2 linked regions of the Anolis sagrei genome follow. The protein of the gene in region 1 interacts with the protein of each later gene in a biochemical or structural test. Links are inferred from orthologs where the notes say so. Each region holds a gene or a part of one and is shown on either strand. Other genes may lie near its edges. The genes, in order: USP8 and STAM2.

The links.
Region 2: the proteins of USP8 (region 1) and STAM2 form a complex in vitro, tested with the Homo sapiens proteins (3 studies listed by BioGRID, with this or other methods). The link is inferred for Anolis sagrei from reciprocal best matches to the Homo sapiens genes USP8 and STAM2.

What each region holds. Positions count from the first base shown.
Region 1 is NC_090029.1:32,017,091-32,033,131, forward strand, and holds the start of USP8 (ubiquitin carboxyl-terminal hydrolase 8), read right to left. Parts: upstream 7,483-16,041; 5' UTR 7,301-7,482; intron 4,687-7,300; 5' UTR 4,611-4,686; intron 1-4,610. UniProt on the Homo sapiens protein: Hydrolase that can remove conjugated ubiquitin from proteins and therefore plays an important regulatory role at the level of protein turnover by preventing degradation. Converts both 'Lys-48' an 'Lys-63'-linked ubiquitin chains.
Region 2 is NC_090021.1:204,399,104-204,414,671, reverse strand, and holds the start of STAM2 (signal transducing adapter molecule 2), read right to left. Parts: upstream 7,672-15,568; 5' UTR 7,537-7,671; coding exon 7,497-7,536; intron 1-7,496.

The sequences.
Region 1 (16,041 bases):
CACAACATGTAAATTATAATGCTGACTACTGTAAAAAGCACCACTTTTATATCATTGTTTCCTCCTTTACTGATTGATAACCTCCAACATAAATTTCTAATTCACTATTTCCTTAAGTTGCCGGGTAAGACAAATACTTTAATGAACTTTTGAAATCTAATAGCTCCAGTCTTTCTTAATCCAAATGGCTGAAGGTTGACTCAAATAATCCAAATTATTTTTCATTTCAATGCCTTTCATTTCTTTCAACAGATATTCACTTAAGCTTGTGGATCAAATATTAACCAGATTTTCATCCACAGGATATACAGGAAAGCTTTCAGATCTTGTTAATTAGTAATGTAAGCTGTTTTACAAATTGGCTAACACTGCACCTCCTGAAATATAAGGGATTACAGTATTTAATTAGCTCCTCTATTTCTCAATTATAGACTTCCATGTTTACTACGGATATGAGTAAGCAATGTTTGGGCTCATCCTACTGCTGCCTACATTTTAATGTATTTGCCTCAGCTGTGCTATTGTACATTAACCACAATACATTCCAGGCATTAGATGAAAAGAAAATGTTATCAGTGCTTCCCCTTCACCTACAATATTTTACCGACTGTTGTGTAACTTCTTTTGATTTACGACAAAAGTTTTCACAAACAAACAAGGACTAAACTCAGTTGTTAAATAACAATTTAAAAAAGTTTTCCAAGTCCAATTTGTCTATATATATCTGGTGTGACTGTGACAGCCGTGCAAATATGCATACAGTGGGCCTTTGTTATCCGCTGGGGTTTGGATCCAGGACCACTACCATTTTCTCTCATCAGTTCTTCGGATACAAAAACCTATGGATGTTCAATCTCATTTATTTATTATTATTTATTTAAAACATTTATATTCTGCCCTTCTCACCCTGAAGGGGACTCCGCATATACACGGCAAACATTCAGTGCCGGGACACAAATTCACATACAATACATAAACATTAAAAAAGTATTAAAATATTTAAATACACCATTTAAAGCCGTCTTAGTCATCCGCGTCAAATCTAACTGGCTGGTCATCTTTCCTATTGCTGCTTTATGGCCCTGTCCCGAAAGCTTGGCCCCACAGCCAAGTTTTTACCATCCTTCTAAAGGACAGGAGGGAGGGGGCCGACCTGATCTCACCAGGAAGGGAGTTCCATAGCCGGGGAGCAATCACCGAGAAGGCCCTGTCCCTCGTCCCCACCAATCGCACCTGTGACAATGGTGGGACAGAAAGCAGGGCCTCCCCAGAGGATCTTAATCTCCGTGATGGTTCATAGGAGGAGATGTGTTCTGACAGGTAATTTGGGCCGGGGCCGTTTAGGGCTTGATAGGCCAAAGCCAGCACTTTGAATTGTGCCCGGTAGCAAACTGGCAGCCAGTGGAGTTGGCATAACATGGGAGTTGTGTGCTCCCTGTGTGCTGTTCCAGTTATTAACCTGGCTGCCTCTTGGACTATTTGAAGCTTCCGAGCAGTCTTCAAAGGTAACCCCATGTAGAGTGCGTTGCAGCGGATGACTAGGACAGTTTTAAATGGTGTATTTTAATATTTGGATAAATGTTTTTTTAATGTTTATGTATTGTATGTGAATTTGTGTACCGGCATTGAATGTTTGCCATGTATATGCTGTGCTCTGCCCTGAGTCCCCTTCGGGGTGAGAAGGGCAGAATATAAATGTTTTAAAATAATCATTAAATACAATAATGTAGAAAAAGATGGCAAAATCAAAGTTTACTTTTTAGAATAAAAAAAATTAAAAACACTTTTTCTTGAGTGAAACTGCAGACACGCTTGAAAGTGCACTTATTCCCGAAGAACATCTCAACACAGGCCATATAATAAAGAACAACTGAACAATCCAGATTCAAAATCAATAAGACTTTGGCAACCATCTTTGATGGATTATTGGCTTTTCTTTTTATCTGAAGTATTTATAGGGTTACAGACTCAAATATCTGAAAGTGCTTACTATGAGCTACACTTGTTAAAATATATTTCTGTCTAATATGGATCTCACAGGACTGAAAAACACAAGTATTTATTATCCAAAGGCACTAATCCCAATATTTCCCATCAATGCCACAAACTTCTGAAATTATGACCAGTTTCTGATAAGTTACTACAGAGTGCTAGTGCTGTATTACTAAAGCATGTTAAGTTTTCTAACTACCATACAAAGATTACAGTATTCAGTCCCTCTTGGCAGAGTTTATTGCCTAAGTATGCATAATGTCATTTCATCAAATTATTGATGTTCTCCCACAAGCCAAGCCTTACTTTCTGGTTCCAATGTACTTGAAGTGACATAACAAAATAGCAAAATGGTTTCTAGCACAAGAGGTTCTCTGGGCCCTTTACACACAGCCCTATGTCCAGAATATCAAGGCAGAAAACCCCACATTATCTGCTTTGAACTGGAACTGTGGACTCAGACAAATCAGTTCAAAGCAGATATTGTGGGATTTTCTGACTTGATATTTTGGGATATAGGACTGTGTGGAAGGGCCCTCAGCAGCTTACAAAAACATTGAAAGCCTGCAGTTGTCTTAGCCCAAAATACTTATTTGTATGTCATAATGACTGTGAATCCTTTAAACAATCACAGTAAAACATCTTGATATATACTGCAATGAAGTGGGCCAAGTTCAAAGACGAATACTTAACATTCTAATTATATTATAAGAGGGCCCTTCCACACAGCCATATAACCCAGAATATCAAGGCAGAACATCCCGCAATATCTGCTTTGAACTGGGTTATCTGAGTCCACACTTTCATATATTCCAGTTTAAAGCAGAAAATGTGGGATATTATTCAGCTGTGTGGAAGGGGCTGGAGAGATCAACAACTTTAGAAATTCTCAGGGCCAGTTCTCTGCTTTTGGGACCCCCCCCCCCCCCACCCATGGACTGCTCAAAATATTCCATTTTAGGACTACAACTCTTACAATCCCTTACCACTGGGGCTTATGGGAACTGCAGAAAAGTTCTCAATTTTTCCAAACTTTGTGTTTTTTGTTTTTATTTTAAATACAACACAACTGTTTGGTTTGCTCCCGACATGACAAATTAAAGAACTCTAAACCAGAGTCCAGGATACTTCTACAACTTCGCAAATCACAAAGCACCAAGCCTCTTTCACTGAAAGCTCTGTGGTTGGCTCTACACTGCCCTATATCCCAGGATCTGATCACAGATTATCTGTTTATCCCAGATAATCTGGCAGTGTAGACTCATATAACCCAGTTCAAAGCAGATAATCTGGGATCAGATCCTGGGATATAGGGCAGTGTAACTCCAGCCTGGTTTAACAATCCAGAACGAGTCGCTTGAATACTTTGTGGTGTAATTACTTAACTTACATTCATCCGAATTCTACTGACATCATACAGTGTGACAAGCCTGCTAAAAACCACATTCAAATGATGAAACGTCTCTAGTAATCACTTCCAATTTTGAATTTCCATAACTTTTCTATATGTAGATAGCCACCAATTTGAGTTTCCAAATGTGACCTATTATGACAAGTACATGCCCATAAGTGTGTTTAACTCTGGGAACAGGGCCTGTGCCTATTGATAGTTCAATTCTACCGTGTAGACCAGGCAAGGGCAAACTCCAGCCCTTAAGGTGTTTTGGAATTTAACTCCCACAATTCTTTACAGCCTATTGGCTCCTAGGAATTGTGGAAGTTGAAGTCCAAAACATCCGGAGGGGCAAAGTTTGGCCATGCCTGGTTTAGAGGCTAGAACACTTGAGAAGAAAGTTCCTTTTTGGAGAGAATACACATTAAACCAGAAGTGGATCAATGGACAGACCATCCTTCTGTTCTGTGCCCCAGTCAAGTTTGGATGTAACTACACAACATAATTGTAACACTTGATGGGATAGGGAAGGCATGGGCGAACTTGGGCCCTCCCTCCAGGTGTTTTGGACTTCAACTCCCACAATTACCAACAGCCTCGGGCCCTTTCCTTTTCTTCTCCTTTTCTACTTAAGTAGCTGAGGGGAAAAGGAAGGGGCCTGAGGCTCTTAGGAACTGTGGGAATTGAAGTCCAAAACACCTGGAGGGAGGGCCCAACTTTGCCCATGCCTGGTGTAAATACACCTGAAGTTACTATATTAACTAGTCCAACGGGAGGTAGTGGGGCAAATTTCCCACACAGAACCCCCATGACCAACAAAAAATACTTAAGGCCATCCAATCCAACTCCCTTCATCGGGGCAAGAAAATGTAATCAAAGTCCTCCTGACAAAGAGCCATCCAGCCATAGGTAGATATAGCTAGATAGATAGATATTATTCACACAGAGAGCTATAGTATCATAGACTTGAAAGGGACCCTTACAGAAGGACAATGATATATTGCATGTTCCAGGGTGGGCAAACCAAACAATCTCCACGTCAACACTGACAAAGAAACAACAAGAAATACTGTTTACCCACAAGCAACAAGACATTACATATATTAGAAACCAACACTTTCTCTCTTTATTTTAGAGATCAACAGACTGGGCCACAGCAACGCATGGCAGGGGACAGCTAGTAAATAAATAAATATTAGAGAATAAAAGAATCTGCGAACCCCACCTCCTCCAAGATGAACTGAACCACCTAAACTGGGCTCTCCAGGCCAATGGAGACTCCACCTCAGACATCAGAAGAGCTGCAAGACAACCGAGAAGAAGCCACGAGAGTAAAGATGAAGATCCACCCAGAGGGAAAGTGTTCCTGCCATACATCAAGGGAACCACTGACCGCATAGGGAAGCTGAGGAGGAAACACAACATACAAACTATCTCCAGACCCACCAAGAAAATCCAACAGATGCTTCGTTCAGCAAAGGACAAGAGGGATCCTCTCACCTCTGCAGGAGTCTACCGTATACCATGCAGCTGTGGGCAAGTCTACATAGGGACCACCAAATGCAGCAGCGTTGCCCAAACACGAATCAAGGAACATGAAAGGCACTGCAGACTACTTCAACCAGAGAAGTCAGCCATAGCACACCGCACTATTTTAATCCTGCGTTCCTCCTGCCATTTCAGCACTTTTAACCCTGTACCCCATTGCGCTGGCCGGCCCAGTTTTAAAGTGTCTTGATGCATCGTTACTGTTGTTGTTATTTTGCTTAACTATTTGATTTGCTTTGTTTATTGTTGTGTTATGTTTTTACTGTATTGTGTTCTGAGGCTTCTGCCTGTGTAAACCGCATCGAGTCCTTCGGGAGATGCTAGCGGGGTACAAATAAAGTTAATAATAATAATAATAATAATAATAATAGCAGAGCACCTGAGGAACCAATCTGGACACAGCAGATTATTTGAGAACACAGAAACGCTGGACCACTCTCACAACCACCATGTCAGACGACACAGAGAAGCCATTCAAATACACAAGCATGTGGACAACTTCAACAGAAAGGAGGAGACCATGAAAATGAACAAAATCTGGCTACCAGTATTAAAAAACTCTAAAATTACAACAGCAAAACAGCAGAGAGGAAAGAACCAGGCACATCTTAACATCTCTCAACGAAAGATTCCCCCAGGCTCAGCCAGGCCTTCAAATGCTAATGAAGGTGGTCAGTTGAAACATTCACCCCTAGCTCCAGCAGACAAGAGTTCTTATTTATTATTTATTTAGTACACTTGTATACCGCTAATATCTCAGCCTAAAACGGCGACTCATTGCGGTTTACAACATTTAAAAACAACAATATTTCGATTAAAAATATAAAACACATACATATACAATACACAGTATTGGGCCACCAATACAGACCAATGCATCTCTTAATTAAAGTTATAATCCAGTTTCGTTGTCTGTGATTGCCAGTCCTTGATCAAAAACTTCATCGCATCGGATTAGCCGAATGCTTGCTCAAACATCCATGTTTTCAGTTTTTTCCGAAATACCATCAGCGAGGTGGCTGATCTTATCTCTATAGGGAGGGCATTCCAAAGCCGCAGGGCCACCACAGAAAAGGCCCTGTCTCTCGTTCCCGCGAGCCGCACCTGTGAAGCAGGCGGGATGGAAAGAAGGGCCTCTCCCGAAGATCTTAGGGTCCTGGTGGGCTGATAGGCCGAGATACGTTCGGATAGATATGTAGGGCCAGAACCGTTTAGGGCTTTAAAGGCCAAAGCCAGCACTTTGAATTGGGCCCGGTAGCTAATCGGTAGCCAGTGGAGCTGGTACAGCAGAGGAGTTGTATGTTCCCTGCGTCCTGCTCCTGTTAATACCATGGCTGCCGCCCGTTGGACTAGTTGGAGCTTCCGGGCCGTCTTCAAAGGCAACCCCACGTAGAGAGCGTTGCAGTAGTCAAGGCGGGATGTAACCAGAGCGTGGACTACCGTGGCCAAGTCAGACTTCCCAAGGTACGGTCGCAGTTGGCGCACGAGTCTTAACTGTGCGAATGCTCCCCTGGTCACCGCCGAAACCTGGGGATCCAGGCTCAGCGATGAGTCCAGGATCACACCCAAACTGCGGACCTGTGTCTTCAGGGGGAGTGCGACCCAGTCTAACACAGGCTGTAACCCTATACCCTGTTCGGCCCTGCGACTGACCAGGAGTACCTCTGTCTTGTCTGGATTCAATTTCAATTTGTTCGCCCCCATCCAGACCGTCACAGCGGCCAAGCACCGGTTCAGGACCTCGACAGCCTCCTTAGTAGCAGGTGGGAAGGAGTGACAGAGTTGGACATCATCTGCTACAGATGACACCATACCCCGAAACTCTTTGCCCCACCCTGGTCATTCCACAGATATATAAATCCTTTTTCCTAGTTCCAACAGACCTCACTACCTCTGAGGATGCTTGCCATAGATGCAGGCGAAACGTCTGGAGAAATGCCTCTAGAACATGGCCGTATAGCCCGAAAAAACCCACAAGAACCCAGTGATTCCAGCCATGAAAGCCTTCGACAATACAATAAAAGTATTCTCTTGCAGATTTCTTCACCTGTGAAGTGCCCTTGAAACCCAAGCTTCGGTGGGACAAGTCAGCTTTTGAACTCACCTTGAACCTAAGCCACACCGTGGAATTAATGCAGTTTGAGACCCTTTTAACTGCCTTGTGGAATGCTTGGGAGTTTCAAGTGTGCCCACTGAACTGGGCCGTGGCAGTTAAAGAGGGCTCACTTGAAACAGCTCTCGTTCCAATTGAAAGGCCTCCCTCTCTCCCTCCCTTGGGCCAAACCCTCTCTGGCTCTCTCTCTGAGGCGCAGAGCAGGCCTCTCCAGGCCCGGCAGGCCTTTCCCCTCGCTCTAGAGGAGGACTCACCCCGGCCCCGGCCTCGCTGTGCTTCCCTTCAGGGCTAGGCCCATCTCCCGGCACCCGAGCAGCTGAGGAAGGAAGGTAGGGAGGAAGGCAGCCCGAGCTTCTCTCGCCTCTCGTTGGCCGGCCGAGGCGGAACTGAGGGGCGGGGAGACGGGACTTCCGCGAAAGGGGCTGGGCCGCCGGAAGTGTCCGAAAGCGGCGGTGGGGGCCTCCGAGAGGGATGAGGTGTCCGTGGCGGGCCTGAAGAGAAAACGAGACGCCCGCGCTCCCCAAGGGACCTGGACGACAGGCGCGTCCGAAGCCTACTCAATAAGCAACACACTGTGGGGGCCTCTTTAAGTGTTTTGGACTTCGAATCCCAGAAGGCCCCGCGAGCCTGTCCAATGGAGAGGAATCCTGGGAATTGCAGTCCAAAACACAAAAGTTCAGAAACTGGCTTTTAACCCAGGATATAATAATAATAATAATAAGAAGAAGAAGAAGAAGAAGAAGAAGAAGAAGAAGTATTAACGTATTAATATAAGTATTAAGAAGATGTAACGGTGGTCCACGCTCTTGTTATATCCCGAATAGACTACTGCAATGCGCTCTATGTGGGGTTGCCCGTGAAGACTGTTCGGAAACTTCAACTAGTCCAGTGAGCGGCAGCCAGATTGCTCACCGGAGCGTCATACAGGGAGCATACCACCCCCCTGCTATGCCAGCTCCACTGGCTGCCGATTCAGTTCCGAGCACAATTCAAGGTGCTGGTTTTGACCTACAAAACCCTGTACGGTTCCGGTCCAGTGTATCTGTCCGAACGTATCTCCCTCTACATCCCGCCTCGGAGTCTGAGATCATCTGGGGAGGCCCTGCTATTGACCCCACCACTGTCACAAGTGAGGCTGGTGGGGACGAGGAGCAGGGCTTTCTCAGTGGTGGCCCCTCACCTGTGGAACACACTCCCGGGGGAAATCAGGGCATCATCATCCCTCCTCGCCTTTAGGAGAAGGGTGAAGACTTGGTTATGGGACCAGGCCTTTGGGCACTCGGGCAATTAAATCAGACAACCAGGCGAGTAAGACCAGCAGGATTGATGAAGTGGAACGTAAAACTAGATCTATGAGTAGCAAACGCTGACCATGCAAGAGGAGAAACTGGGTTTGTATTTGGTTTTATTGATTTTATGGTTATAATGTATATTTGGTGTTAACTGTGTATTGATGTAATTTTGTGTTGATTGTTTTTATGATGCAGGCATCAAATTGTGCCTTGCTTTTGTGAGCCGCCCTGAGTCCCCTTCGGGGTGAGAAGGGCGGGGTAAAAGAACCCCAAATAAATAAATAAATAAATAAATAAATAATCCTTTAGTTGTAAGAACTGGAACCATGAAACTGAGCTAAAGCTTTGGGCAATTTCCTCCCTTGTTTTCAGTTGCAGATTACCTTTTTATTATTATTATTATTATTAAAATGTCCTTATAGATGGGCCAGTTGGACCATCCCAATAACCTTCTCTGTCCTGCTTCAAGGGGGGATATCCACAAAGGAATCTTTGGGTAAAGTTTAGCCCGTACCTTGGGAAGTCTAACTTGGCCACGGTAGTCCACGCTCTGGTTACATCCCGCTTAGACTACTGCAACGCTCTCTACGTGGGGTTGCCCTTAAAGACGGCCCGGAAGCTCCAACTGGTCCAACGGGCGGCAGCCATGATGCTAACAGGAGCAGGACGCAGGGAGCATACAACTCTCCTGCTGTACCAGCTCCACTGGCTGCCGATCTGCTACTGGGCTCAATTCAAGGTGCTGGCGTTGGCCTATAAAGCCCTAAACAGTTCCGGCCCAAGATACCTAACTGACCGCCTCTCGGCCTATGAGCCCACGAGGACTTTGAGATCTTCCGGGGGAGGCCCTGCTCTCAATCCCGCCTGCGTCACAGGCACAGCTGGCGGGGACGAGAGATAGGGCCTTCTCGGTGGTGGCTCCTCGGCTGTGGAACACCCTTCCCGTAGACATGAAGCTAGCGCCCTCCCTGTTGATATTCCGCAGGAAACTAAAGACCTGGCTGTTTAAGAAGGCATTTGAACAAGATGTGCAATGATTGGTAAATTGACCATAGGAATGGAATAACGGAAATGATACCGGATTGTGGGTTTGACGATGAGATGACACGGAATGGCTTTGTAGTAATGTTGATGTTTTGATGAGGATGTTTTTGATAATGATGAATTGTGGATTATTTTACACTATGTCTTGTATTTTGCACCTGTTTTTCTATGTTGTACACCGCAGCGAGTCGCCCCTGGGCTGAGAATTGCGGTCTATAAGCGAAGTAAATAATAATAATAAATAATAAATAAAATCTGGCCCACATTTTCATTAGCACAGATCTAACAATGGTTGTTTAAAAAAAATCCCTTTTGATTTGGTCGTATCAGAAGTACACGTGCCAGCCAATTCCCAGGTCAAAACCCTCCGATTCTAGTATTTTCTCCTTATTTAGTAAGATCCAATCTTTTATCCAGCTTAGACCGCACACTTCGTAATAGAGGTTTAGATCTGGTAGACCTAGCCCTCCTCTGTTCTTCGCGTCAGTCAAATATCCATATTTTATTCTCGGTCTTTTCCCTTTCCAGATAAATTTTAATATTTCTTTATTCCAGGCGTTAAATAATCTATTGTTCCTAATTATTGGTGCATTCTGGAAAAGGTATAATAGCTTTGGAAGCTTTTAAACAGAAGCTGGATGACCATCTGTCAGGGGTGCTTTGAATACAATTTTCCTGCTTCTTGGAAGGGGGTTGGACTGGATGGCCCATGAGGTCTCTTCCAACTCTATGATTTAGCTGTGTGAAAGGGGCCTCAGGTGACCCAGGGCCCTTCCAGACAGGCCCTCTATCCCAGGATCTGTTTCCAGGTTTTATGCTTTAAATTAGATTATGTGTCCACACTGCCAGCTAATCTGGAATAAACAGAAACCCTGGAACCAGATCCTGAGATATAGGATCTGGAAGGGCCTCTAGTACAGACATTGTGGAATTTTCTGCCTTGATATTATTGGTTATATGGTTGTGTGGAAGGGCTCCGAGATCAGATCCTGGGATAGCGGGGTATTGCGGAAGGCCCCTTGAACCCTTCCACACAGCTGTATAAAATCCACATTGAAGAGGATTATATGGCAGATGTAGACTCAGGCCTGAATTTACTTTCTCTGCGATTTTGAGCCTGTTTGAGTATATTCATACTACTGAGAGTATCCTTTGACTATAAGTAAACTAGTTTACCAAGGTTACTCAGATATTCTATCTGTATGCGCTTTCAGAAGCACACGGAAGTGATCAGTATTATTGCTAGGGCAAGGTATCTGGAAATATGACTGCACTTTCCTGAAGGTCATGTTTACAACTTGATGCACTGCCTTTTTCCATCAGCATTTTCCATTTTGTACCAAAAGAACTGCAGTTAGATTTACCTACAGTCTAGTACAATTTTTGTAAAACTGAGGTTAAAATGTGTGATTTATTGCATGAAGGTTTTCAGTAATCAAAACAATTTTGAAATTATTTTGCACCGTTTTTACCATTCTTTTTTTACCTTTTGTATGTTTTAATCATATTTTGTTTTAATTTTCTTGTAGGCTGTCTTGAGCCCAATGTAGGGAAGAACTCAGGATTTACGAATAAAATAATGAATATTTGAGTCAACAGTGAACATGTCACCATAAAAGCTCTATGGCTATGCAAGCTTCAGTACAAAGATCAGTTCCTCCAAACACGTCATAACACACAGCACTAAATACAAGTTGGTAATTTAGTCAGTGTAATTAGGGAAAAGAGACTCCAGATCACAAAACGTTATAACTTGGTTTTATTAACTCGATTTTATGGCAGTATAGAAGGACCTTGATCTTCCTCCAGTCCAGTTACTTAAAAAACTGACCACCACACATTTGGTACCTTGAATGTTTCCCCTGTTTCTGGGTATATTTGGCAGATTGTTTCCAAAAATGCCACCAGTTTCCCCCCAGCAGTTCTGGTTCTTGAGACAGATGCTATCTAACAGTCACAATCTACTTGTCCATAGAAATCAGGATAACCCTATTTAAGAAACTAGAGATAATGCAGTCTATCTAGTGCAATTTTCTGAATCAGCACCCCAAAGAACCCTGGGAATAAACCTAAAAACCAAGACACACTAATATTTTTTTTGTTGGGCTGTTTTACATAGTTTAAAATTGCAAGCACTTGCACTGTTACATTATTATAATCTTTCGTTACCATTCTGGAGTCACCTATCTCTGCTTTTAGTTCCCTTCAGAAGAGTGACTTTAGCCTAGTCTGGGAAACAAAGCACTTCTGATGGACCTGAATAGCTTTGCATAAGAATGATTAATCTCACCTGTAAACTGGATCAATGTAAGATCTGGAACACAGTTCACTCTTTTCTCTACATTGATCAATGATAATCCAACTTGAAACTGACTATATGCATCTCTGAGCTGCTTTGAATCTCATTTGTGGAGAGAGAAAAATGGGTATAAACAATAAATAATAACGAACTTTCTTTAATGCACACAGCAATGGAAGCTGTTACTACCAAACTTCTTTCTGGATGGATTTTTACTGCCATAGAATCCAGATTATCTGCACTGAACTGGATTACATGACAGTGTAGATGAGACCTTGTCTCATACCCCTTCCACACAGCTGAATAAAATCCCAAATTATCTGTTTTGAACTAGAATATATGGCAGTGTCAATTCAGATAACCCAGTTCAATGCAGATATTGTGGGATTAACCACCTTAATATTCTGGATTATATGGCTGCGTGGAAGGGCCCTCAGACCCCTTATACACTGCCAGATAATCCAGATTATTAAATCAGATAAATCACATTATCTGCTTGGCAAACAGATATCTGAGACTAAGGTCCCTTCCACACAGCTGTCTAAAATCCACATTGAACTGGATTAGATGACAGTGTGGACTCAGATAATCCGATATTGTAGATTATCTGCCTTGATATTCTGGGACCCCTTCCACACATCTGAATAAAACCCCATATCTGCTTTGAACTGGAATATATGTCAGTGTGGACTCAGATAACCCACTTCAAAGCAGATATTGTGGATTATCTGCCTTGATATTCTGAGTTATATGGCTGTGTGGAAGGGCCCTGGGTTATATGGCTCAATGAAGGGACCTCTGTCTACACCAACATATAATCCAGTTCAAAATTGATATTGTGGATTAGGTGCTTTCAAAATCTGGATTATATGGCAGTGTAGAAGGACCCTAACATGGCTGACTTTGAAATCTATGGCAAAACCTGCCACTCTTTTCCGGAGCCACGGGGCTCTTCCCCACAGCCATTTAACCCAATATATCAAGGCAGATAATCCAGTGTCTGCTTTGAACTGGGAACTGGGTTATCTGATTCCACGCTGCCATATAGTCCAGTTCAGAATAGATGTGGGATTTTATATAGCTGTGTGATAGGGACCTTAAGGCCCTCCCCCGCCATATAACCCAGAATATCAAGGCAAATAAGCCACAGTATCTGCTTTGAACTGGGTTATCTGACTTTACACTGTTGTATATTCTGGTTCAAAGCAGATGTGGGATTTTACACAGCTGTGTGGAAGGCCCCCCCTCTCTCTGGGCCCTTCCACACAGCCCTATATCCCAGAATATAAAGGCAGAAAACCCCACAATATCTGTTCTGAACTAGGTTATTCGAATCCGCATTCAGATAATGTGGGATTTTCTTCCTTGATATTCTGGGATATAGGGCTGTGTGGAAGGGCCCAGAGAGAGAGAGAGAGAGAGAGAGAGGAAGAAGGGAGAGAGAGGGCAGAGAGGGGGAAAGGGAGAGAGAGGGAAGGAGGGAGGGAGAGGGAAAGGAGGAAAGGGAGAGAGGGGGAAAGGAGGGAGGGAGAGAGAGGAGGAAAGGGAGAGGGGGGAAAGGGAGGGGGAGAGAGGGGGGAAGGAGGGAGAGAAGGAGGGGGAAAGGGAGAGAGGGGGAAAGGAGGGAGGGAGAGAGAGGAGGAAAGGGAGAGGGGGGAAAGGGAGGGGGAGAGAGGGGGAAGGAGGGAGAGAAGGAGGGGGAAAGGGAGAGAGGGGGAAAGGAGGGAGGGAGAGAGAGGAGGAAAGGGAGAGAGGGGGAAAGGGAGGGGGAGAGAGGGGGAAGGAGGGAGGGAGAGAGGGAGGGGGAAAGGAGGGAGGGAGAGGAGGAAAGGGAGAGAGGGGGAGAGAGAGGGGGAAGGAGGGAGGGAGGGGAGGAGAAAGAGAGAAGGGGAGAAGGAGGAGGAAGAGAAGGAGAGAGCGGGGGAGGAGAAAGAGGGAGGGGAAAGGGAGAGAGGGGGGGCAAGGAGGGAGGGAGAAAGGGAAGGAGGGAGAGAGCGAGAGGGCGGGGGAAAGGGAGAAAGGAGGGAGGGAGAGGGAGCGGGGAAGGCGGGAGGGAGAGAGGGAGGGGTGAAGGAGAGAGGGAGAGGGAGGGGGAAAGGGAGAGAGGGGGGAAGGAGGGAGAAAGAGAGAGGGGGAGGAGAAAGAGAGAGGGGAAGGAGAGAGAGGGGGCAAGGAGGGAGGGAGAGAAGAGGGGAAGAGAGCAAGGAGGGAGAGAAGAGGGAGAGGGAAAGGGAGAGAGAGCGGGGAGGGAGGGAAAGGGAGAGAGGGAGGGGAAAGGGAGAGAGAGGGGGGGGAGAGAGAGGGAGCCCTTCCACACAGCTGTATACAATCCCACATTATCTGCTTAGAATCCCATTATCTGCTTAATAACAGTGCGGAGCCAGATAGCCCAGTTCAAAGCAAATATTGTGGCATTTTCTGCCTTGATATTCTGGGCTATAAGGCTGAACTCCCTCCCTCGGAGGCCGAACTCCCTCCCTCCCAAGGCGGGAAAAGCAGCCACCTTCAAACATGGCGGCTCCCTTGCTGGCTTCTGCGCCTGCGCGGATTTCAAATACTAATATCCCTCCGCCACACACTCCCTCCCCTTCCCCCCCCCTGCTTCTTTTGTGAGGCCTCCGAGATACAAAAAAAAATAATCCCTATCTGGAATAAGGAAAGTTGAGTAATAATAAGGAGTGAATATGTTCAGAGTGGTTCCTTTTTGCCAGGCGAAGGGATTTGGGGAAGGAGCAGAACCCTCCTCCGCCTCCTCCTGGCAGAGGCCTGTCTCGTGAAGAGCGCTCCCTGCCGGTGTCCTTCCGCCACAGCGCCGAGAGGGACTCTTTGGCGGGGCTTTTGGGCGCCTCAGAGACGCGGCGGAGGAGGCGGCGAAAGAGGCCTTCCTTGCTTGCTTCTTTCTCCGGCGGAGGCACGGTAAGCGGCGCCCGGCCCTCCCCCCCCCCCTCATTTCCTTCCTTCCTTCCTCTTCCTTTCCGCGGCCAGCCAAGCTTTTCCAGGTCAGTCGGCGCCCTTGCTGGCGAGGCCCCTGCTTGTTACCGGATGTGGAAGTGGATCTCTCTCTCCTGGGCTGGTAAAAAATAATTCCACTTCCCCCGGAACCCGGCGCCTCGTCGCGGCCCTCGCCTCCTCCTCGCTCGCGCCCAGCCAGGATTTCCTGTCAGGCGGGGAAAGGAAAGGCCTTCCTTCCTCCCTTCCTCTCTTCCTTCCTTCCTTCCGGGGAGAAGGCCCTCCTTTCCGCCGCCGCCTTGCCTCCACACTCGGGTCCCTCGCGAGGCCTCCCCGGGTGAACTAGGCCTCTCTAACTCCCCCCTCGCGCCGCTTTTCCTCCCCTGCTTCTGACAGGCTTGAGGCCTACCGTCCCACAGAATGAAAGAGCTGCAAGAGACCACCATGGGCCATCCACTCCAACCCCATTCTGCCAAGGAGCAAGGAAATCACAACCAAAGCCCCCCAGACAGATGGCCACCAAGACTGTTTCAAAGCCTCCACCACATTCTGGGGCAGGGAGTTCCACTGCTGAACACCTCCTCTCCTCACACTGAGGAAGTTCTTCCTAATGTTCAGGTGGAATCTCCTCTCCTGTAGTTTGCAGGCGTTGTTCTGCACCCTAGTCTTCAGGGCAGCAGGAAAAGCACAACTAAAGTCCCCCTAACAAATGGGCATCCAGCCTCTGTTGTCAAGCCTCCAAGGAAGCAGCTTCCTCCACTCTCCAAGGCAGTGAGTTCCACTGCTGAACAGCTCTCCTCACAGTGAGGAAGTTCTTCCTAATGTTCAGGTGGAATCTCTTTTCCTGTAGTTTGCAGGAATTGTTCTGCGTCCTATTCTTCAGGGCAGCAGGAAACGCGCAACCTAAGCCCCCCTGAGAGATGGCCATCCAGCCTCTTGCCAAGCCTCCAAGGAAGCATCTTCCTCCACACTCCAAGGCAGTGAGTTCCACTGCTGAACAGCTCTTCTTACAGTCAGGAAGTGCTTTCTAAAGTTCAGGTGGAATCTCTTTTCCTGTAGTTCGTTTCCAAGCCTCCAAGGAAGCAGCTTCCTCCACACTCCAAGGCAGGGAGTTCCACTGCTGAATAGGTCTCCTCTCCTGACAGCTCTCCTCACAGTGAGGAAGTTCTTCCTAATGTTCAAGTGGAATCTTTTTTCCTGTAGTTTGTTTCCAGCCTCTTGTTTCCAAGCCTCTAAGGAAGCAGCCATATAACCCAGGGCCCTTCCACCATGGGCCATCCACTCCAACCCAATTCTGCCAAGAAGCAAGGAAATCCAAACCAAAGCCCCCTAGACAGATGGCCACCCAGTCCCAGTTTCAAAGCCTCCAAATAAGGAGCCTCCACCACAGTCTAGGGCAGAGAGTTCCACT
Region 2 (15,568 bases), on another chromosome or scaffold:
TGTGTTTATAGCTTCTAGCAATTCTAGCAACATGGAATTTAGTTCAACTTGTAACATTAGAAAAATAGGTCTTTTATTAGCTATTCTGTGTGGATTTTTCAGTCTCCTTTCATTACAGTTTATGAGGGGCGGCCAGAATCCTTTTGAGCTTAAGTTAATTAGTGTTTAGTTGCATTACTCTTATTGGAATATATTAGTTCTTTAGCAATATGCCATAGTGTCAGTATAGCATGGTGTAGTTTCGCTTTACTTTTGGCTATACATATGTATAGTTCTCCCCCCCCCGCCCCCCCCCCCAAATACTTTCTATGTTGTTGTGAACCCATTTGTATGTGTCAAAATGAATAAATATCAACTTTAAAAATAATGTGAAGCAATTCATAAAAGAACTAAATAACTACAGACTACAACTTTATTAGAAAAACACTGAAAACATCAAATATAGGCATAGATCCAAATGTCTTCTTCCATGCGGAAAAAGTTTCTGCCCCATTGCTTTCCTGGAGCCAAATGGAGGGAAAAGGCACCCACATTTCACAAATATTCCTTGACACATCAGGAATCTTCCAAAACAACATGGAAAATGTCATCAGGGGCTACAGAGTGAGGAGTGTGGAGCTCTTCCACAAACAGGGGAGAAACTGAGACCAATTATTGTAATTCTTTCCCCTCCTTGAAATGAGGTCTTTTTACACTCTTAAGATGTTATTAAACTAGGTACACAATCATATGGGACAGAGTATACTAACATTGCTCCCTACTATTGCAAAACACATAGGAAGTGGGATAAAAGCCTAAGGACAGAAATGTTCACTTTATCCATGAAAGCTCTCACTGCGAGGTTTCCAGACAGAGATTGGTAAGGTTTTAGGCCTAGGAGATACTTTTTTTTCTTAAACAGAAAGTGAACCAGAAATGACATGTGGGTCACCTTCTATTATTTTTTTCAAAAGGCCTTTTGTGATTTTAAAATGTTCAGAAAGAATTTCCTAAAGGGTGTTTGAGGGCACTGGATGACGGAAGTTGGAGACGGGTTTCCTTCAAGATCTCATGAGGGACAGCATGCCCCATTGAGCGTTGGCCATCCATATTAAACCCTAGATTGAAATAAAGTAATAGAATATGGGAGGTAAGCTAAGCATGTGTTTTGAAGTAAGACACCATGACTGAAACTGTCTGATGTAATATACACACACATCTGTGGTTATTAGAAGCCCTCTGAAACCCTCTATAGCCAGACCAGAATTGAGGAAAGATCTAGAGACATAGACAATTCCTCAAGTAACATAGTATTAAATCACTGAAGTCAGTAACAGTAAATTCATGGGCCCCATGAGAGCAACTGTGCCATGATCCATGACAGCTGTCCATGCCTAAATTTAGTATTTACACTTTCATGTGAATTTGGAAACTGACAATTGATTTAACATTCTGCACTAGCTGAAGGTAGTCTTGTGTAGTAAAACACCACAGTAGTCTGGTCCTAACATAGTCAAAACAGGAGTAACCAAAACAGGGTGCTGTATCAGCTGTGACCCCTAATTGGCATTAGGCATTTGTGGCAATCACAACTGCCATCTGTACATCCAGAGATAGCATTAGATCATGAAGATTTCACTTTTGATCTATTGACTTTTAGTTTTACAGAAATAGATGATCTCATGCTCAGGAACAGCTGATCACCTCTGTCCTCCCTTAGTTATAGTATCAGTATCTTGTTGGATTATATTTCAGACTGTTCACCTACTCTAAAACTGTTCCTGAGCAACTATTACAAGGTTCTGCTGCTGCCCTCAGATTAGCAAACAACATACTGATGACACATTAGTCTGACTCTCTAGCTGACCTCCCAGCGGCTTGGTGTAGATACTTAACAGATAAGGTAAGATGGATCTACCATAAAGTAAAAAGTCATGAAGTAGAACAAAAATCTTTCAAAATTACCAGTGGAGTTTGTCCTGTTAGAACAATGGTTCTCTCCTATCTCCAAACAAGAATCTATGTGGATTCTTTCTATGTTTCATTAAAAACAGGTCTCACCTCCCTTTCTAGTATCGTGATTCAAAATGGCATGTTGGACTCTAGGTTGTAAAATGTCCAGAATAGGGTACAGATTTACAATTGCTTTTTTTCAGGGAAGTAGGATTTCCTGAAAGAGAATTCCCTTCCCCTAAAAAGTATGTTAACCACCCCTATAGCCTAAACAGTAGGTTTCATCCTGACAGCTCCTAATATCCTAGAGGAATAAGGATCTAGAAAACAAGTGGTAAATCTCAAGCCTACAAGTAGCTTGTGCATATCCTCAGGTTGCACAAGCAAAAATGTATCCAAACATAAAGAGACAAGATAGCTTCCCAGGTTTGTTTATTCCATGTCTGTCAAAATATAAAATAGACTCAGTATAACAGCAAATGAAATACTAATTCCTCAGTTTATTTTGTTTTTGTAACATTTTATAAATCAAAAGCAAGCAATTTGCTTACATGTAACAGAACAATTCACTGGTGTAAGGTTTTTATAATGTTGACAAAGGAGAACAGAAATCGTACCAGAAATCAAAGTCCATTTGCAGTTAGCTCTCTCTATATTGGCCTTAGAAAGCTACATAACGAGATCTCTAACAAGAATGCATTGTCATCTGTAACATGGCTTCTGAGCTTCTCTAGAAACATCTCTGTTGTCAAAATAGTATCAAAACAGCTTCTCCTGAAACATACTGGTATTTCAATGAAAGTTTTAAAATAATATATTTACAGAATCCATATATGTTTATACATTCTTAGCATTCCTTGCATATAATCCTCATATTTATCAGATCTTGACTTCTTAGAACATCTTTGTGTTTTGACAACGAAAATTAAGGTTTTGCTACTGAAGTCTATGGGATATGAGTAACCATGCATAGTATTGCTTCGTTCAGGTAAAAAACCAATACATCTAAGCTTTTAATAAACTTGTGAATGTAAAGAGCAAACCTGTCTGTTTCTTGCTTGTTTAACCGATTTTCAAAAGCTAAAATATTAAGCACATTACATATATTTGTAAGCACACATCTGATTAGAACTTTTTGGTACTGTTCCATTATCCAGGCGGAGGCCATTAGGGGGTAATAGAGAGAGAAGGGCTGTCCATTTTAGGGCGGGGGACAATTGAAGGGGGAAAACCATTTTCCCCTTTTTTCGCTGGTCATTCCCCCTCCCCACTTCTTATATCATAGACGAGCGGAATAACAGGAAAACAGGAGGAAATGGTTTTACTCCTTCAACCCACCCCAACCCCCATAAAATAGACTATCCTTCTCTCCCTAGCACTCCCTAGTGGCCTCCACCCAGATAATGGAACAGTACTGAAGTTTTTAATAATTTTGTATTGTACAAAATATAGTCACAATCTTTTTAAAAATGTCGTTTTAAGTTCATGTTTCATGTGTGTGTGTGTGTGTGCATGCATGTGTGAGTGTTGGATGAACTGCAGTTAGTTTGAAATGTGCTCAAGTTGATTGCCATTTTCTAGTTTTCCACCATGCTGCAATATTCTTGTTAGATTCTAATGACTTTGTTTCCTGGCTTTTTAACTACTATTTTGATATAATTAATATCTTTCTTTATGTTTGACTGTTTAAATTGCATATTAAATGTTATTTTAAATAATATAATGAATTACACTATACTCTTCAGTGTCAAATCTGTTAACACATACAAGTTAGGGTCATTAACACTGCAGTCCTGTGCAGAAATAAGCTCCTAGACTCTTAGGTGAATGTACATAAGGACTAAAACATACTTTCATAATTCTTTTTACACTAACAACTTGTTCCTGTTCCCAGATTTCAAATTATCCACCAACCAGGAAATACAATAGCTAATAGCTGACTACAAGTGATGTCACTGTAAGTTATGAAGAAAAGTGTTCTCTTCTGTGTGAAACCGTATGACCTGTTGACTAATCGATTCCAGGCCCAGCCCCTTTCAGGAACTTTGGGCTTTTTAAGATGGAATATGAACCACCGAGATCATTCATTATCTTAAAGATCAAATACTTATGTAGTCAGCCTAGTGACAGCAGTTACAATATAGGTACAAAAAAGTATACCGATAGCGATAAAGCTCTTTAAAGTCATTTTCGAACAATTATTGATAGATAAAACAGAAAACAAATAAATCCATTAATTTCAACTCAATGCTTTCAGAACATTCTGTGAAACTGTACACCACAATGCATTTTAAAACAAACATATTTTGTTCTTTCAATCTAACTATGGAACTAATCTATGTTGTTAAATCAAGACAGCCATCCATGCCAGATCCCCAACCTCCAAATCAACTTAACCCTCTAAACTACAAAATATTGAACAACAACCTTTAAGACATAAGGTTCATTTCTGGAGCCAATTCAAGGACTTGGTGTGTGCCAACATAGCCTTAAATCACTCAGAGTGAAAATACTTGAAAGTACATAACCTGTCACATGCCGCAGGTGAGCAAAGGAAGTGGCAGAGATTACAATACTTATAAGGCCATTTCTGCAAGGAGGAAAAATCCTATTCTGCTTGGTTTTTAATGTAATAATGTCATAGTGGAAAGTTCAGGTCAGCTTTGGACTGACAAAGGCATAACACTTCTTTTATACATGTGTATCATACAGTGAATGCAAGACCAGCATAAGACGCTTACTTTGAAGTATAGTTCTGCTTTGTGGTTGCTTGAGTACACAAGAGATAACAGTCCAGCTGACAAACAACCAGAGCAGGAGTCAGGCTAAAAACCTGACTCACCCTTGAATTACTCTTGGGCAAATCATTAGCTCTCAGGTTCAGTTCTACATTTGACAGCTGAGAAAGAACTGCCCTTGGGTAGCTCCCAGCCAGCAGAACATTTCACAAAGATAGTAGAAATTCTAGAGATGAAGAGACCCATTTCCATGTTGCGCATGGGAAACGGGCCAAATATTTATAAGTTGGAAGAAACAACATGAAATAGTTGTGACCCAGTTTCAGGAATATAGAGTACAGTATTTCCGGAACAATAATCTCTTAATCAGAAAGTCATTTCCTCCCAAACCGCCAACCAAAACACAACAACCCAAACCCATGCCAATAGAAACAACTCTGTGCTATGGTAATATGGTCTGCATTCTGGGAATATGGTCTGAAATGATACACAGCCACAACCCCAAGAAAATGAGTGACCTCCTTTTTGGCCAGTGCAAAATATCTGAATGGAGGTGGGGATTATAATTACTTATATCCTGCTTTTATCGCGATTGAGACACTTGGGGGCCCATTCACCAGGAAACTCTCTCTTTGCCCCAATGACTCAGGAATTGTGTGGCTGGATATTGGCACAGCATCCCCTGAGTCATGCCAAGGAACCCTGGTTACTACTACTATTACTAATGTCCCACTTTCCCCCCAGATTGGAACTCAAAGCCATACAACAACAATATTTAAAATGTTCAAAATCCACAAACCACAACAGTTAAAACAGTTAAAACGATTAAAGTTAAAACTTAAAACATTCATCATTAAAACACATACAAACCACTGGTCATATCTAGTGTAAGAGGGACCTTACAAGTGGTGCTTCTGAAATGTAGAATTAATGCAGTTTGACAGCACTTTGGCTCCTTCCACACAGCTGAATAAAATCCCACATTATCTGACAGCGTGGACTCAGGGCCCTTCCATATGATTCCAGGTTTTCTGTTTATCCCAGACAGTGTGAACTCATATAATCCAGTTTGAAGCAGAAAATGGGATTCTGGGATATAGGGCCTGTCTGGAAGGGCCCTCAGATATTCCAGTTCAAAGCAAATATTGTGGGTTATTCTGCCTTAATATTCTGGATGATATGGCCTATGGTCCCTTCCACACAGCTGTATAAAATCTCACATTATCTGCTTTGAACTGGGTTATATGGCTGTGTAGAAGGGTCTTTAGGCTTCTGTAGTGTGATCCTATGGAATCAAGGAATCTGTGGCCTAATGAGGCACTTACACCTTTTAGCAGATGAAGCCTTGTAAAACCACAACTCCTATGATCCTCCAGCACAGAGACTCCTTCTATACTACCATATAAAATCCAGGTTATCTGCTTTGAACTGGATGTAAACTGAGATAATCCGGTTCAAAGCAGATAATGTGGATTGTCTGCTTTGATAATCTGGATTATATGGCAGTGTAGAAGGGTCCTGAGTCATGGCAGTTAAAAGTGGTATTGCTGTGCATTAATCTTACAATGTAGATGCGCCAGGCCCCTTCCACATGGCTGAATAAAATCCCAGGGCCCTTCCACACAGCTATATAACCCAGAATATCAAGTCAGAAAACCCCACAATATCTGCTTTGAGCTGGGATATATGGCAGTGTGGAGTCAGGTAACCCAGTTCTAAGCTGTTATTGTGGGGGTTTTGGCTCACAACAGTCTAGTCACTGTGGGATTAGAGAAGTCTTTGCTCTCCTGACACTTCATCTTCCCTTTGCCCTTTGCCCCAAAGAGGACCAGCCTTTGTGTTTGAGGTGCCTTCAAATCACCTGCCAGATGAATGGCCTCAAGGACTCCTTAGGTCCCTTCTACCTAATAAAATCCCACATTATCTGCTTTGAACTGGATTAGATAACCCACCTCAAAGCAGATATTGTGGTGTTTTCGGCCTTGATATTCTGGGACATAGGACTGTGTGGAAGGGCCCTGAGTCCACACGCAGATATTGTGGGATATAGGGCTGTGTGGAAGGGCCCCTTGAGTCACTGTCGGCATAGAGAAGTCTTTGCTAGGCTGACACTTTGTCTTCCCTTTGCCCCAAAGCCTTTTTGTGTGAAGTGCCTTCAAGTCACCTGCCAGCCGAGTGGCCCCAAGAACTCCATAGGAGCTTCTTAGGCCCCTTCTACACAGCTGAATAAAATCCCACATTATTTGCTTTGAATTGGATTTGATAATCTAGCTCAAAGCTGATATTCTGGGACATAGGACTGTGTGGAAGGGCCCTTGGTTATCCAAGTCCACACTCAGATATGGTGGGGTTTTCTGCCTTGATATTCTGGGACATAGGGCTGTGTGGAAGGGCCTTGAGTTCACACTCTGATGTTGTGGGATATTCTGGGGTATAGGGCTGTGTGGATGGGCCCCTTGAGTCACTGTCGGCATAGAGAAGTCTTTGCTAGCCTGACACTTTGTCTTCCCTTCGCCCCAAAGGGGACCAGCCTTTGAATTGGATTAGATATCTGCTTTGAATTGGATTAGATAACCTAGTTTAAAGCAGGTATTGTGAGATTTTCTGCCTTGATATTCTGGGATATAGGGCTGTGTGGAAGGGCCTTGAGTCCACACTCTGATATTCTGGGATATAGGGCTGTGTGGAAGGGCCCTTAAACAAGAAGGGGCCTTGGCAGTTCCTTCCCTTGAAAGAGACCTGGCAGTGGCCTCCCTCCCAAGTGCTAACCAGGCCAGGCCCTGCTTGGCTTTCTTCCCTGGGGCCCTTCCGTGGCCCTCGACTCACCCACATCCTGCTCGAAGGGGTTGGGGGCGAAGAGCGGCATGGCGGCGGCAGAGGGAAGGGGAGGCGAAGAGACCCGGCTGAAGGAAGGGAGGAAGGAAGGAGCGACTAGAGACGCAGCCCACCAGCCCCTGCTCCTCCACTCAGCCCCGCCCCTCTCCTCTCCTCTCCCCAACTTCCTCTTCCGCCCTCCGCGAAGGACCCGCCCTCTCGCTTCATTGCCGTCCAGCGCGCGCCTGAGGAGACGCGAAGGTCGGAGGAGGAGGAGGAGGAATACGGCTTGAACATCGCGTCCCCCCTTTTACGTTTCCCTCGACACTAAGGGAAAATGTCGGCTAAGGAGGCAGGCAATACAATAGACACCTAGCACCGGGGTCCTAGGAAGGAGAGGCGCATAGAGATAGAAGAGTGGAGAAGAACACTTAATTGATTGGCGTTCTGCGGAGACAGGCAATACATAGACACCTGGCTTCAGGGTCCTAAGAAATAGAGGCGTGTAGACATAAACATTGTTGAGAGCGCTTCACTATTTGCCTGGAAGTTAAAAGAGTAGCAAGGCAGCTGACTGCATTTGCAATCCATTGGTAATATAGGGCTCTTCCACACAGCCCTATAACCCAGGATATCAAGGCAGAAAATCCCGCAGTATCTGCTTTGAACTGGGATATATGGCAGTACACTGCCATATATCCCAGTTCAAAGCAGATACTGTGGGATTTTCTGCCTTGATATCCTGGGTTATAGGGCTGTGTGGAAGGGACCATAGTAAGGCCTGCTGTTTTAAGCAGTCAAGGCATTCAAGTTCCAGTGAGGAGAAGGGGAGGGGAGTTCAGAACAAGATGACACTTTGGGGGTTGTGCAAATCTATACTATTTGCCAGCACTTGTAACTGTCGTGGCTCAGTGCCATACAATCATGGGAGTTGTAGTTTTACAAGGTCTTTAACCTCCTCTGCCCAAAAGTGTTGGTGCATCAGCAAACTACAAAAATGAGACTTTGGGGCTGTGCAAATCTGTACTGTAGATGAATGCAGTTTGCCAACACTTTAACTGCCATGGCTCAGTGCTATAGAATCATGGGAGTTGTAGTTTGACAAGGTCTTTAACCTCTGCCAAACTACAAATTCTAAAATTCCATAGCATTGAGCCATGGCAGTTCAAGTGATGTTGAACTGCATTCATTCTCCAGTCTAGATGCACTTTAAGCAAATCCAATAGAATTCAGAATAAGTTTTTCTTTTATGCTGGGGTCTCTAACAGCCATATGGTGGGAAGCTGAAACCTAAATTGATAAGTATGTGTAATAGCTAAGTGGGCCTCCTAGTGGCGCAGCGAGTTAAACCGCTGAGCTCCTAAACTTGTTCACCAAAAGGTCAGAGGTTCGAATCCAAGGAGCAGTGTGAGCTCCCACTGTCAGCCCCAGCTTCTGCCAACCTAGCAATTTGAAAACATGCAAATGTGAGTAGATCAATAGGTACCGCTTATGTGGGAAGGTAACAGCGCTCCATGCAGTCATGCTGCCCACATGACCTTGGAAGTGTCTTTGGACAACGCTGGCTCTTCGGCTTAGAAATGAAGATGAGCACCACCCCCCAAGGTCGGACACGACTAGACGTAATGTCAGGGGAAACCTTTACCTTTACTTTCTAATATATAAGTAAGAATAATTGCCCCCCCCCCCCAAGAATATACCGACTGTAGGATTGTTTCCCATGCAATTACCCTATTGTGATTCTGCCCTTTCAGTCCACATACCTCTAACTTTGGAGATGGTGAAAACCGGGATATATTGCGGTCATACAACATTTTAATAAAATCAAGATGCCTTTCTACGCAGCCCTACATCCCAGAATATCAAGGCAGAAAATCCCACAATATCTGCTTTGAACTGGGTTATCTGAGTCCACACTCAGATAAAGCGGAATTTTCTACCTTGATATTCTGGGATGTAGGGCTGTGTGGAAGGGCCTCAGGACATTTTAAAAGCAGTTGAAGAAGTCAAGACAATGGGACTAATCAGGACTGTCTTCCCAAGTCAGGCAGTTAGAGATTATTTATTTATTTCGCATATTTGTATCCCGTTGTTCTCATCCCCCGGAGGGGGACTCAAAGCGGCTTCACAAGAGGCATTCATTCAATGCAAACAACAGTAATAAATGATAAAAGCAATTAAAACAATTCATTACTGCTTTAAAATTACTAAAACATTGTTTAAATCACACAGGTTTGAAATCATAGTCCAGGTCTGTCCATTGTCATTCACACAAACTGGGTCTCATTCTAAATTTCTGCCTCTACTGTTCGAACGCTTGGTCCCATAGCCAAGTTTTGAGTTTCATTCTAAAGGACAAGAGGGAGAGGGCCAATCTAATGTCACTGGGTAGAGAGTTCCACAGGCAAGGGGCCACCACTGAGAAGGCCCTGTCTCTCGTGTCCACCAGTCACGTTTCCAAGGATGGTGGAACCGAGAGCAGGGCCTCTCCTGTTGATCTTAGACTTCACAGTGGTTCATAACAGGAGGATACGTTCAAATAGGTAAGCTGAGCCAGAACCTTTCAAGGCTTTATAGGCTAAAGCCCACACTTGGAATTGTGCTTGGTAGCAGATTGGCAACCAGTGGCATAGCAGAGGGGTTGTATGCTGTCTGCATGTCGCTCCAGCGAGCAACCTGGCTGCCATCCATTGGACTAGTTGGAGCTTCCAGTCTTTAAAGGCAACCCCATGTAGATTCTATTGCTGTTTTACACTGAAGAGCTGGAGTGGAGGTCTGAGGTTCTGGAAGAAGGCTTTGACTTGAAAAGTTATTTTGAGGTGTGTGTACACTGCATTAGACTTTTGGAGTTGTGTAAATCTACACTGTAGAACTAATGCAACTGGGTACCACTTTTAACTGCCATGGCTCAATGCTATGGGATCCTGGGAGCTGTCGTTTTACAAGATCTTGAGCCTTCTCTGCCAAAGAGTGCTGGTGCCTCGCCAAGCTATATACCACATAGCATTGAGCCATGGCAGTTACAGTGGTGTCTAACTACATTAAATCTAGATGTACCCTTGGTCTCTTTGCTTAGATACAAGCCTGCATTGAAGGAAGTTTGAAATCTTGATCCCAGATCCAACATTAGATTATTGAAAAACTGAGGAGGCGAGAAAACTTTGCTTAATTATGTAAGAGTTGATCACAACTCACATCAAACATAGAGCATTTTATATTCATGCCATAAACAGAGTGTATGTTGTTCAGGAATCAATCCCAACATTGGTATTTAGCTGCATTGGCAGTGCCAAATGTTGTAAAGAATGTAGAATGGAAATGCAGAGAATTCCACTCAGTGCAGTGCTATAAAAATGCCTTAATCTGACAAATACATTTGCAAACCAGTTGTCCTTGTCTGCTGGTGTGACCAGGTCTGGGTCAGATGACTATTGCATTACAAGAGCAGCTGAAAACACAGCACGTGCAAAATGCAGAAAACATCAAATTCCTGCTCACTTTGGCATATGATGCGAATAGCCATGGCCTTTGTGAGATTATGGCCAGAATCCTTTTGGTGCCTTAACAGTCTGCTATGCTGATGTCAGGCACTTTCTGGAGGGATGTGGCGCAGCAATGGGGGGGATGGCAGGGAAAGCTGTCTCTATTGCCAAGGAAAACTGTCCTACCACTCCCATGAAGTTCAGGAGCCAGCAAAAGAGCAATTTCTTCTGACACATGACTTCTGATGCTATCTCTTCATTCTCACAACCGCTAAAGTCAGTTTTTTTCCTGTTTCCACAGCACACTGTTATCAATGCTTTCAGCAGTGTAGTAGTGCTGGCCAACAGTTTCATGGTCTATGCATTCATATTCATGGCCATCTAGATATCTGACTACTCTTACAGCCAACCGCTTGATGTGATGGTGAAGTTACCAGGTTTTCAGTCTTAAAATGTCTGATGTGTTCTACAGCAGGGCTTCTAAAAACTTCCACTTATGGCCCCTTTTTTTCCTGAGAAATTTTTACACGATCCTGGGTATACAGGGATATGAAATAAGTATAAAAACCAAACATGTGTTTGCAAATCTGTGTTTGCAAGGCTTGCTAAGCAAGCTGATTTTTCTTCTTATGGAGTACAGCTGAAGCATCTTCTGTAGAGCCCACTGTTAATTTATCAGACCTTGCTGCAGAGCTCATCAGTGTTCCTGTTTCCCAAATTTGTATTTGGAAAGCTGACCTATTACCTTTGAACAACTATTTTCAGACATCAAAGAATAAAGCACGGTTTCTGGACTATCTTTTCTGAAGCAAATTGATGTTTACAATGTTATGATGCAGTGTTGATACTGTATAAGCCGACTTCATTGACATAAGTTTGTTCACTTTGTCTCGTCGTCAGAAATTTTAAAGAGACTGGAAATAAAAGAACAAGCAGCAGCCTATAGATTTATGGAAGAAATTGAAGTGATAAGTACATTTGTATAAGAGATATGTACAAGGATCTACAGAAGAATGTATAGAACAATTATACTTTTTGACACACTTTTAAAAAAGATGTTCAGCAATTAGAAAGCTACAGTTAACGCAAGAAGACCTTTCCCTAGGTAATAGGAACCAAAATCCAAATCTGATGTTACTAATCAAATTTAAATAAAAGCCTGGCACCTGACAAATTTTTCACTACCATCAGTTGAAATTCATTTTTAATTTGTGTGGGAAATGTAAAGGCAGGAGAATATATGCAGAAAACCTTCATATTAGCCATAAGACTATTGCTTGTTATCCAGAATCTCCATAAGTTAGGTTTTATGGGAAAGATGGTGCATTTGTAGATGCAGCTGCCAAAGTGTGGCGAGTAATTTTTGCACTATCCAATTTCAGACAGAAAAGTGGTTTAGAATACTATTACTCAGTAGTTGTGTCTTTCACACTAGCTGTTTCCCAAAGTTTCTGGCTTGATACAAAACTTGGTGACATCAACTGCAAACTCACCATACTCTGAAGGAACTGTATCCCTGTATAACCTTGCAAGCAAATTTTGACAACACAGACAATTAATGCAAAGCCAAGCAATGTGAAATTTCAAAAGTTTAAACTCTATCAAGCAAGTTATAAAATGCTTTAAAGTGTAGCATCATTATAATACAATATAATATAGTTAAAAGTACAGCAACTCTGTAAAAAATGACTCCCTGAAACCACTCATACTATTAAATGCTTTTTAATTTCATCTGGCAGTGAGAGGAGAGAAAAGAGATATGCTATATTTCCTCTATAGGTGGCAATATTGTTCCAAGCCATAACTTGGCCACAACATTCAAAGCACAGCTTCTACTTTATACTCCTGGCTGTATAAAGTTCATCACTTTTTTCCCCAACCTGCTCCAGGATTTCTTACTGCAAACTTCTTGAAGTTGGGTTTGGAATATGAGCAGAACAGGGAGGAAAAAATGGAAATAGTAGTATAATGACCATCAGGATCATAGCATGCCTTTGGAAGCCTTGGATTCTGGAAGTAGTCTGTTCCAAGGTCCTGCAGCTCCAGTTTGCTTCTAGCTTATCAGGGGGGACAATGTAAATGAAGTAGTGCAGTAATATACAGCCACCATAACCTGGGCATATTATACAGAACACTCCGGATACACACAAAACCAATAGGTACATTTTCTTCTACCCACATCCAACAAAATATGTCTTTTCTAAGGATTTTCTATGGCCTCCAGGGTGACTCTGTGGTAACATCTAACAAAAGTTGTTCATTTCAATAGGATTCCTTATTACCCAGGGCTCTATTTCCACGGTAAGTTCAGGAACATATCCCCCATGATGTATCTCAATACAGGAGAAAACATCAAGTTGTCAACAAGAATGCTTCAGGGTTTTTTTTGCTTAAAAATTGTAGAAAACCTTTTTTGTCCACTGAAACGTTATGCACGCAACTGCAAAAACAGCCTGTGAGCATGTAATACTCTTATTAAGCAGAGCTCTGTCTGTGTAGTAAAGGAAAGTGGTATTTAGGTATTTCCCACTTAGAAAACAAAATACACATCTCTAAATCATTTGTAGCCTTTTTGATTCATTTTATGTATCTGAGTGTATGACATCTAAAGTGAAGGCTTCTCCAGCCTACTTATTGCTGGACAAGAGAAGGCCTGCCTCCTCCTCCTTCTTCTTATTAATTTTATCCTATGAGATGGAGACTATATGATGGAATTCTGCTCACAGGGAGAGGGAAGCGTAATTCTGAACCCTTCGGTAAGGTTTCTATTGGGGTGCATCTACACTGTAGATTTTAACTGCCATGGCTCAATGGTATCGAATCCTGGGAGTTGGAGTTTGGTGAGGAACCAGCACTCTTTGGCAGAGAAGGCTACAGACCTTGTAAAACTACAAATTCCATGATTCCATAGCATGAAGCCATGGCAGTCAAAGTGGTATCAAGATGTAATAATTCTGCAGTGTAGATGCACCCTCTGTAAGGCTGTAATCAGAGCTTGCTTCTCATTGACATCAGCTCCTACCAGCCTCCAATGAGAGCTCCAAATGGAGCTGTCCAAGGTGCTTCTGGCTTTGCTTGGATTTTGCCTTACATTCATTTGATCTTGGCTTTGCCTTGTTCTCCTTATCAGCTCCCAAACATGTGTCTATCACACCTCTGCTCCAGGGCCCTTCTATACTGCCATATAATCCAGAATATCAAGGCAGATAATCCAGATTATCTGCTTTGAAGTAGATTATCTGTGTCTACACTGCCATATCCTCCAGTTCAAAGCTAATACTTTGGATTTTATACAGCTTGTAGAGTGGCCTCAGTTGGAGATCAGTTTCTGATAGGCAGAGAAATTACATTTTCTATCATTCCAATACATAGGGGCACTTCAAATCTATTATTTGTTTTGTATGAGTTCCCTCTGCCGCCCAGACTAAAGTAAGTAACGCTTTGGCTTCATCAGTGGTAGTCAATCTGGTGTATATCTGTGTTTGATAACAAGAGTCATTATATTTGATTATCCTGTCACCTGTTTTTACAACTGTGTTTGTCATTTCGTCTATCTTACTGATCCTCATATCTCCAGACTAGCCTTGAAATAGTTGTGGTGTGGGCACTGAGAGATGCATGTTTATTAATGCATGACATGACTAAAGCAAATGTATAGTATCAATGTGTTACCTCAAAGAGAGGATAATAACAAAATCTGTCATATAATAATAATATAGCCTACATGGATGAGATTGTGGAACACACATTTATATGGCAGACATGCGTTCATGTTTCTGCATGTAGGTGTGCAACCCGTTATGTTACTTTGTAAAAACTTTCTTGAATGATATAATGCTAGGTTTCAGTGTGAGTAATGAGACATTTTAGGGCTTCTCCTAACAAGAATGGTGATTAGTCTGTAGGGAAAAGAACGATCTGTAGATATTCCTGTAATATATTTATGACATTGTTGTGTTTATTTTAAGACTCGGGCCCAGGCCACAGTGTGGGGCCCACACCCTTCAGTAAGAGTGCAAGTCTCTCTCTTTTTCCTCAGGGAAGCAGCTGCCTGTCTTCAGCTGGACTCACCGGCATTCCTGAGCGAAGCACCTGCAGATCCGCCACTCTGCTTCTGTAGACAAATGGGGGGGGGGGGCACAGGGTTGCTGTCTGTTCAGGGAGGAATGCCAGGGCCTGTCTGCGAGCTGTCACTCCTTTGCATTCCTGTGATAAATTTTAAAAGGGCTGGTGCACTCCCCAAGGTGTGACAGTTCTTACCCCTATAAGCCTTGTCCTTAACCCCAAGGCATCTGCTTATCATGCTGGAATGTTTTCATACGCTCAGAAACAGAAGGTCTTAACATGCCAGCGCTGTTTGATCTTGTAAGGTGCATGAGCCAATAAAACAATTTATGCTAAGTGCCCTTTGCTCCAGCAGGGGAGAAAGCACATCCCATTTTTCAGATTAAACCACTGGAGCAGAGCTGAATCCCACTGAAGTCCAGCATGGCTTTATGTAGCTAAGCACACATTTGTCCACGAATTTATTTGGTGGGGAATAGCGAACAATAAACTCCTGTTGGTACTGATTCCTTATCAACACATTTGTGTATGATAGAC